2 linked regions of the Caenorhabditis elegans genome follow. The protein of the gene in region 2 purifies or fractionates together with the protein of the main gene of each other region. This does not show direct contact. Each region holds a gene or a part of one and is shown on either strand. Other genes may lie near its edges.

The links.
Region 1: the proteins of gtf-2E2 (region 2) and gtf-2E1 purify together in Caenorhabditis elegans (affinity purification with western blotting, with the first as the bait; one study listed by BioGRID). This does not show direct contact.

Annotation. Positions count from the first base shown.
Region 1 is NC_003282.8:17,253,372-17,258,359, reverse strand, and holds gtf-2E1 (HTH TFE/IIEalpha-type domain-containing protein), read right to left. Parts: upstream 3,060-4,988; 5' UTR 3,058-3,059; coding exon 2,992-3,057; intron 2,938-2,991; coding exon 2,881-2,937; intron 2,829-2,880; coding exon 2,730-2,828; intron 2,677-2,729; coding exon 2,528-2,676; intron 2,484-2,527; coding exon 2,405-2,483; intron 2,354-2,404; coding exon 2,244-2,353; intron 1,965-2,243; coding exon 1,677-1,964; intron 1,629-1,676; coding exon 1,527-1,628; intron 1,475-1,526; coding exon 1,123-1,474; 3' UTR 798-1,122; downstream 1-797. Other genes in the region: phyh-1 (phytanoyl-CoA dioxygenase), read left to right, coding at 1-43, 95-313, 575-658, 711-767; eelo-2 (Peptidase M3A/M3B catalytic domain-containing protein), read right to left, coding at 3,607-3,702, 3,958-4,089, 4,189-4,476, 4,523-4,693, 4,743-4,861.
Region 2 is NC_003280.10:11,539,960-11,544,067, forward strand, and holds gtf-2E2 (Transcription initiation factor IIE subunit beta), read right to left. Parts: upstream 2,537-4,108; 5' UTR 2,532-2,536; coding exon 2,454-2,531; intron 2,405-2,453; coding exon 2,311-2,404; intron 2,264-2,310; coding exon 2,172-2,263; intron 2,122-2,171; coding exon 1,834-2,121; intron 1,185-1,833; coding exon 867-1,184; 3' UTR 814-866; downstream 1-813. Other genes in the region: dhgd-1 (D-2-hydroxyglutarate dehydrogenase, mitochondrial), read right to left, coding at 1-405, 479-671; F54D5.9 (F-box domain-containing protein), read right to left, coding at 2,852-3,111, 3,172-3,435, 3,489-4,108.

The sequences.
Region 1 (4,988 bases), on a different chromosome or scaffold from region 2:
CCAGGCACGAGGCCTACAGGTTCACGGTTACCCAGAGTGGGAGGTAACTTACTCGCTCACCAGCATCGATACAGTAACCCAAGACAATTTTCAGGGTGGTGTCAACATGGCATACTACGCAATCAAGGACTATGACATGTCACTTCCACGTGAATACGTCGAGATGGAAGCTGGAGACACTGTGTTCTTCCATCCATGCTTGTTCCATGGATCCGGTGCCAATCGATCCGAGGGATTCAGAAAGGCGATCTCGTGTCACTACGCGAACTATGATCATACGAAGTACATTGATGTCAAGGGAACCGCTCAAGAGGTGTGAGAGTGCGATAGAGCGCGCTTGGGGGTTGATCTCCAAACCCGCGCTTTACCATTAGAGCGTGGTTGCATTTTTTGAATGCAAAGCTTTGAGATCTTTAATGCAAAGCTTTGAGATCTTTAAAGATCTTTAACAAAAATTTCGAGTTTCTAATGTAATTTATTAGATCCTTCTGAATTTTCTTGAAAATCCTAAAAGAAACATTGGCGATGCAATATTTTCCTGTCAATGGCCTAACTTTTTAATTTTCTCTTCCAGGAAGCCGGCAAACAGATTGAGGACATCATCCGTAAGCATCCAAAGAGATATGCCGTGAAACCGGGACAGGAGGTCACTTTCGAGGTTTGTCATTTGAAAATTTAAATTCCCGCCAGTCAATATCGCTTTTTTCCAGCTCACCTGGCGTCTGCGCTCTCGTCCAGTCCATCATGACGGCAAAGAAAATCTGTAAATGATAACCAAACGTTCAAACTCGATTTCTCAATCTCGCGAAATAAAGTTTCATTTTTGAAATGTACTCGAATAAATGGTGTAAAATGATGAGAGTAAAACAACACAATCATAATAATATTATTTTTAAAACAATAGTAAATTTCTGGAACGAGAAAAAAAATAAAAAAGGATTTGAACCGTGATGAAATGATGATGAAACAGGTGAAAAACTAGAGGGAATGGTAGGGGAAAATATAAAAATTTCAAGGCAATTTGTCATTTTGACGGTATTAGGAGAATTGGAGAGTAAACAATCCTCTATACCATCCTAGACATCACTAAATTTTGGCGGTAATATCTCAAAAAACCGAGACTTAATGAATAGCAATTTGTTGAGAAAAGAACATTGCAAAAAGATCCTGCACAACACTGCAATAGCTCTCCTTCTCCAGCTCACTCATCTCGTTCTCGACCATTCGAGGTGTGATTTGGCTCAGCGGAAGTGCTCGCCCCGCCACGTGGATCAAGTCTTCCTCCTCACTTTCGTCGTTGTCAACTTCCATTTTGATAGCTTCCTCGTCGACTTCCATCTTTATTTGCTTGGCAGGTGGCTCTTCAATTTTGACATTTGGAGCAGATTCCTCCGAACTGCACTCAATCTCCTTCAGATAGTCCAGAGATGGTCCATAACGTCGCTGTTTCGTTGATGTTTCTTCTTCCTCGGTTCTGAAAAAAGGTTTCATTGTTGAAATATAAAAGTTAAGCCATTTAAAAGTACTTGGCCTGATCCAGTACATGCTCATTGTGTGAAGCTTCACCACCGCCTATTGCATTATCCTTGAGCCATTCTGGCATAATTTTGGCTTCTTCCACAGGACCCCTGAAATATTAAGAATCAAAGTTTATTTTTCTACTTATGGCCACTAACTTATTAATATCCGCATTTAAATCCACAAAAACTGCATCTCCATTCTGATAATTGATCGAAGCGATATTTTGATAAGAATGAGCGACTCCTCCCAACTGTATCCGTCCACCACCACCTCCACCCGACGTAAAGTCCATTTGTTGTTGCTGTAGTTGCAGTTCTTTGTCATCTTCCAAATATTTCGTGATATCCGGTTCAAGGAGATGCGGAGCCAATTGGATACCGTTTAGAGCACAAATATGAGAGAAGAGCGGTGTCATTTGTTCGTTGAAGCGTGCCACAGCGGTTCTGGAAATTTAAAAAATAAAAAAAAATATATATGCAGATACAGTAACCCGAAGTTTTTTTTTGAAAGGAGACCCTAAACAGTAAAATTTCATCAATTTTTTGGAGCTCAAAATTGCAAAAAATTTTAGAGTACTGTAGATTTAATTTAACAAATTCAAAAATCTGTCAATTTGAAAATTTTTCAATTCGTCGCTTTGAGCTCGATCAGAATTCATAATAATTTTCGCTTCAGAACCCAGAAATTTCCGAATTTTCAGATTTTCAGGATATTCCAAGTACCTCGTCGTCCTCGATGGTACTACCGTCTCATCCGCCAACACATCTCCGTGGCACCGCCAGCAAATAAGCCGCCCGCTTTCAGCGTCCAATATCCGATTGATTTCCAGCATCTAAATATGATTTTTTCAGAGAATTCTTCTATTTTAAAAGAATTTTCTCACATCATAAGAACTCTGACACGCTCCACATCGATAGTGAGCTCGATTTGTGTCCATTTGCTCTCGGGACTCGAGTTTTTGTCTGGAAAATTTTAAACTTTCAGTGAAAAAATTATATTTTCACACCTCATGTGATCGATTTTGTAGCGCACCACGTTGAGCACAGCCCGATAGTTTATATAGTAGAAAATGATGGAAACCGTTCGATTATTCTCGTTTTTCTGCGTAATCGTGCGCTCTTTCACGAGTTTTTCAGCTTTCAGAGACGCGAGGAGCTGAAATTGTCAAATTTTTTGAATTTTCGAATTTCAAGCAAGTTTCAGCACACCTGTCTGAGCATTTTCTGATCGAATTGTATTCGGGCTTTGAGATTTTCCTCGCGAATGCACTGGGCTCGCATTATGTGGTAGACGATGATAAAGTGCTCCTGGAAAATTAAAAATTCAAGAATTTTTTGAAAAATCAGATTTTTCGCTTACACTTGAGAAGAAGTTCTTTACCACCATCAGCAATATAGTGTTGAGTGCCTCCGGAATCTGAAAAAGACGGTTTTTAGTCAGATTTAGTGGGTTTTTTCGCGGAAATGTTACCTCATCCACCACTTGGGTCTCGGTGTGAGCCGATGATGAGCCGGAGGTCGCTGGGCCAGATGACATGCCTGGAAAAATTTAGTTTTTGGAATAAATTTTAATTTTTGATCAATAAATTATAATTTTTGTTCAAAAAAGTGAGCAAAATTTAAATTAAAAATAATTCAGCTCAAAAATATCCAAAAAAAAAATGGAATAATCGTTTTTTTTTTAATTTCCAAAAAAAAGTAAAAATTTCAAAAATTGGTTTTAAAAAAATAACACAATGTCCTGGAAAAGGTAATTTTCAAAAACAAATTCAATTTTTTTCCTGTTAAATAAAAAACATAAACATTTTTTTCAATTTCAAAACAAAAATATTTCAATCGTTGGAAAACGATATCTCAAAAAACGATAAATTTTCAAAAAGAAAAGAATTCATTACTGAAGTAAAACAAAAATTAAAAATGAGGGGAAAAACATTAAATAACAGAGAACAATCTATGAGACCCTATTTCTTCTTAAGACTATCAAAAAAATATAACAAAAACAGAAAAAAAATCATCTAAACATATGTGAAAACCCGGTGAGAAGCGAAAAAGAGATGGAAAATCTCCAAAAACCGGGGGGGAATTTTCATCGTCTCTGATTCTCCGACATTTCCATTTCATCTTGAATGGCCATTGGTGGGGCGTAGTGATCACAGATGGCTCCGACTGATGGATTTCGGCCCTGAAAAAATGGAAATGAATATTTTTCTTTAAAAAAAATTAAATAATGGCTTCATTTTTCTGGAATTTAAAAAATGAAAGTAATTGTTTGGAACTCTTTTAGAATTCTTCTTGTAAAAATAGAGTTCAATTAAAGCGTTCTAATTTTAAAAAAATACGATTTTTTGAGATTTTTCCATGCAGAATTTAAGATTTTCAGCTTATTTTAATGCCGTTTTTCACCAATTTTTCAGTCAAAAAAAGAAGATTCCCCTACCTGGAATCTTTTGAACAATTCCTTCGCAACATCTCCACTTCCTCTATTCAATATTGTCGTTTTCAATCGTTCTCCCGTTTGCACTTCATTGTCTTCCTCGTCAAATGTCTCATGGATATCTAAGGCGAGCATCTGGAAATTGAGCCAATTTTCAGAAATAATTGAGATAATTTTTTTTAAAAGTATTTATCAAAATTCTGATGATTTTCTAACACTGGAAAACCACCTCACCTCAGCCCACAGCTTCCTATAATACATGCTCATATGTGGTTGAAGAGCAAAAATCGGTGTGAATGAGCACGGTTGATAGTCATTTTTGGCTCTTTTGAACGGGAAATACTCCTCATACATTTGTTTGTACATATCCAGCCAGAACTTTTGCTTCCTGTCCTCCATCTCGTAAATCGACAGATCAAAGTCCGACCAGAAGAGGGTACGGTAGGTTTCCCAGAGTGATGCTCGTGAGATCGTAAGAGCCACCGAGTTTGCGTGCTCTTCGGTCAACGATTGCTTTGTGATCTGAAACAGAAATTCAGACATTTCAAGAATTTTCGACTAAAAATACCTGATGCGGAGAGCTAATTGTTGCAAGGAGATTGGGCTTCGTGACGAACATTTGCAAGAATGTTGGGAACATGTCAGCTGCATCCCAGTCAGATGCGTAGAATGGAGACCATGGAATTGAAATATCACGGTATGGAGATTGTGATAGAAGAAGCTGCACACTTCGGCCAAACTGGAAATTTCGAAAATTTAAATTCAAACCCAAAATTTCGACTACTGACATGGAAAAGAAGTTGCTGAAGCTGCTGGTGATGGAGAAGAGACGGTCCGTTGGAAGTTGGAGCAATTGCTGAGCCGATGAAGTACACAATCTTGTCGAGACCTCGTTCTTTGGATTCCGCTGGAAATATATTTGTTAACTAACCTGTGTTGTTTTTTGCAGTTATTTTTGAACAGAATTTATTCTATTAACGTTTTTCGAAAGAATTTTTTTGCAAAAATAATTTGAAAAAAAAGCCAGATAGTCT
Region 2 (4,108 bases):
CATCGGGAAGAACCACCGTGAGCCCGAGAAGATGTGCGTGAAGACTTCCGTATCGAATCAACCGAATCCCTCCTGCACACGTGGCAATATTTCCTCCAATCTGACAGGATCCTTTGGCTCCGAGATCAAAAGGCATCATATATCCGAGTTTTGCAAGTTTGTTGTCCAAGTCTTCCAGAATAAAACCAGAATCACACTTGAGAATTCCCATTGTGTCGTCGAAAGAGAATTGCTTGTTGATTTTATTCATTGATATAACAACTTCATCATGTACTGGAATTGATCCACCAACGAGTCCTGTATTCCCTCCTTGTGGGACTACTGCCAATTTGTTCTTGGAGCAATACGCCAATATTGCAGAAACCTCTTCGGTGCTCTTCGGGTAGAGGACGACACTGCCAGGACCTGGAAATTAAAACATTTAATATTTAAAGTACCTATTTAATATTAAATAAACCTAATCTTAAAATACAAATACCTTTAAATTGGCCTGTCCAATCTGTAGTATGATTTGTAATATCGTCCTTCTTCACTGCATCTTGCCCGAGAAAATTCTCAAATGCCATTAAATCCGACTGCATCACTTTTGCAAATCCTTCATGTCTGGCGGCAAGAACTGCTGCGTAGCTTCTAGTTGGTCTTCTGATTCGTGGCAAGATTTTCAGAAACATCTGAATTCAGAAACTTTTCAAAAAATAACTTGAAACTTCAAAAGAAATAGTAGGAGACAAAGCTCGGCTAGGTGACCGATTTGCCGAAAACAATAAGAAAACAAACGGCTGGGCAGTGATAAGAAAAAGAGACAGAAGAGATACAAATGATCATAGTTCATTTTATGTACTGTTAACAGAAGTGTGTAATTAAAATCATTCGTAATCCTCCAAAACTCCGTCCATATGCTCGTTTTGTACTTTTTGATTGAACCGTCTCTTCGCGGCTTTTCTTTTCAGTGGAGCCTGCATTCGAACCTTCGGCGTCAGATCCTTCATCGCGTCGAGACCCTTCTTCTGGAGATATTCTTCGATTTTCTTCTCATCCAAATGATCCACAGACACGTGTCTCCACAAGGCTTTGAAATCGTCTTCGAGCTCTGGGAATGTGAATTCTTTGTCATTGTAGAAGACGACTCGATCCTTTTTCTTATTGACTTGTGTCGGAACAACGATCACTTCAGAGGATACTTGCTGGAAAAATTTAATTTAATATTTCACAAAATTGCTCCTTTTTTATACTTTGATTTTTTCAGTTTGACAAATTTAAAAATTCTGATTTTTAATCAAAATTAACCCTAAATACCCTAGTTTTTGAAAAGTTATAATGAGAATATTCTGCCTTCAAAAATGTTTTTCCTTTGAAAATTTTTTAAGGAAAAAGGTTTTATGCTGGAAAAGTGTAATAATTTTTTTTTACTTTATTAAATATATTTTTTCAAACCTTTTTTTTATCGATTTCAATGTTTTTTTGTGGAATATTTAACTTATGGGATCGAAAATGATCAAAATTATTCGTGTAAAAATTGAAAAATAACGTTAATTTGTTCAAAAGTCTGAAAATAAAGTAATTTCTGAATTTTATTTTATAAATTTTCAACACATTTTATCTTTTTTGTGAATTTATATATTTAATTTTCAATTTATTTCAATTTGAAAATCAAAAAAAAACACATTGTTGAATACTCAGAAATTCTAAAAGATCTAATTCATCACAAACTCAAATTTTAATTACTACGAAAAATAAGCCGCTGATAATTTTAAAATCAATTTTACTAATTTTTAGCTGAAATTTTTGAAAAATAAAAACTTTATTTTTGTTATAAATTATTCAAATTCCCACCTGCAGTAGTGCATCATAATTAGCCACACACTCAGCCAAATCCGACACAAGAATTCCACCTTTTCCGTCCTGATAATGTTTCCTCGCGACAGCTACCAACGAAGTTTTTCCTTTAATTTTGTAAGGTGGTCGAAATGCGAATTTTTCGGATTCCATTATCAGTCGAGGATTGTTTGGTAATGCTTCTTGAAGGAAAGCAAGACTTCTTTTTGAAAGATCAAAAATTTGAAGTTCATCGAGAATTTCTTGAAGTGTCAACGGCCATTGTTGATTGTTTAGGTGGCGTTTCTGCAATTAACTGTTTTTAACTCGAAAATTTCGCTTTAAAATATAAATACCTTCATATAATCCACAATTTTCGCCATTGTACTGAAATTTGTGGCATTTGATAACGCATTGGCGTTGCTCACGGAATTATTGAAATCTGGGACTGAAAATTCCGTTTTCAGAAACTAATATTACATTTTAACAACTAACGTTTCGACAAATTTTGAGCCGGTCCAGAGCTTTTCTTCTTTTTCGCTTTTGCTGCTTCTGAAGAGTATGTTGTGTGTGAATTTGGTGCTGTTGTCTTAAAAAATCGATAAATTCAATATTTTTTTAATTTTTAAAGTTCTCACAGGCTTATTCTGAACAGCCATCGTTGTTGCAGCATGCTTCTGGAAAGCAGTTCGCTGCCTTAACAATTCCGGATCCATTTTTGCTTAAACGAAAACCTTTCGAAACAATGAAGAGTACTCTCTTAAGAGTGAAAATCGATGATGGAAGAGGTTTTTCAAGGCCAGTGGCCGGCAAATAATGGTGGCAGGGGGCTGAACCCTGTAGTAAACAATAAAGTGAATTAGTTTTCGCTGATTTTATCAGAATGAGAAAGATGGAACAAGGAGTGAAAGGAGCTTTAAATTTGAACAATTAAAATTAAAATTAAAGTGAAAGTAAAAGTAAAAGAAAACAAAAACAAAACTAATTCTACAGTTGGAAGCTATTTTCAAAATTTTCTAGACAGATAAAACATGATTTATTCCAGCTGCTCCTCTTCTTCTAGTGGATCATTGACGAGTTCAGCAGCTAGGTCATTTGGAAGCTGGAAGCCTATTTGGTGAAGAACCACTGTGTTTGATATATCCGTCAACAGGCGAGCCATTGAGAGCTGACCGTCGAGCTCTTCGCGGATCTTTTCAGAACACTCGGTTGTGTTTGTCGCGTTCTTTACCATTTCCTTCAACCGTGAACTTTGAACGTTCCAAATCTTTTCGAGAAAAGCTTTGTAGCAACCGTCTGTAATAATAATAATATTCGTTATTTCTCGCACCGAAAAGATGACAGAACGCCGCTCACCGTAATGACCATCGAGTTGCGCAAGATGATTGAATGCGTGGTGCAGTGGTTCGGCGAGAAACGTGGCAGGTGCAGCCGACCAACGATAAAGATGGTTGCGTACGAGACACACCATCTCCGCGGCTTCATTCTGGAGAGTTTCATAGTCGTCGCGGCGAGGATCGAGACAGGTGACAAGATATTCGCTGAGCAATCCTGAAGAATCAATGGCCAGCGCCATAGAAGATGAGGTCTCAGACCAAAAGCCTTGTACTTCGCAAACTTCTGAAAATTAAAAAGCTATTAAAAATTAAAAATATTAAAAAAAAAAATATTACCAATGATCCGGAGGAAAAGCTGATAAAGTTTCTTCCCGCTCCACATTTGGTCCGAACTCTTGGAATTATTCATGATGCGAAGAGCGCGGATTCCATTGAGCAACGTTGACAGCAATTTCCTATAGTTTGGCTCACTCTTCCGCAAAGTGAAGGTATCTGAATCGTCCTCACAGAAATACGCCCAGTCGACGCGTTCGCCAATTCTTGAAGATCTTGTTGGTCCGAATAGGATGTAATAGAACTTTCCCTGATATTTTTCAATTACGTTTCGGATCAGAACAGACAACCAGGAGCCAAACTCGATAATCTCCTGTGGAGAAGCTTCATCGATGTCTTGACTCAAGTTGAGGAAGAGTTGGGTCAACCCGGAACGAACTTTCATCTCGAGACCTATCAACTGGCCCGGTTTAGCAGTAAGAACCTTGATAATCGAAGGACGGAGATCAGCGTCGATCATGATTGCAGCTTTTACCATTATACGACGTTCAGAGAACTTCCAATTGTGCGTTATCGTTTCCAGGAGTCTTCCAAAACCATGAAGGGAGCCTCCGAGTTGATCACGCAAATTCCGGCAGATGTTCAGGAAGACTTGAGCGCGGATCTTTGTGTTCATTGTGATC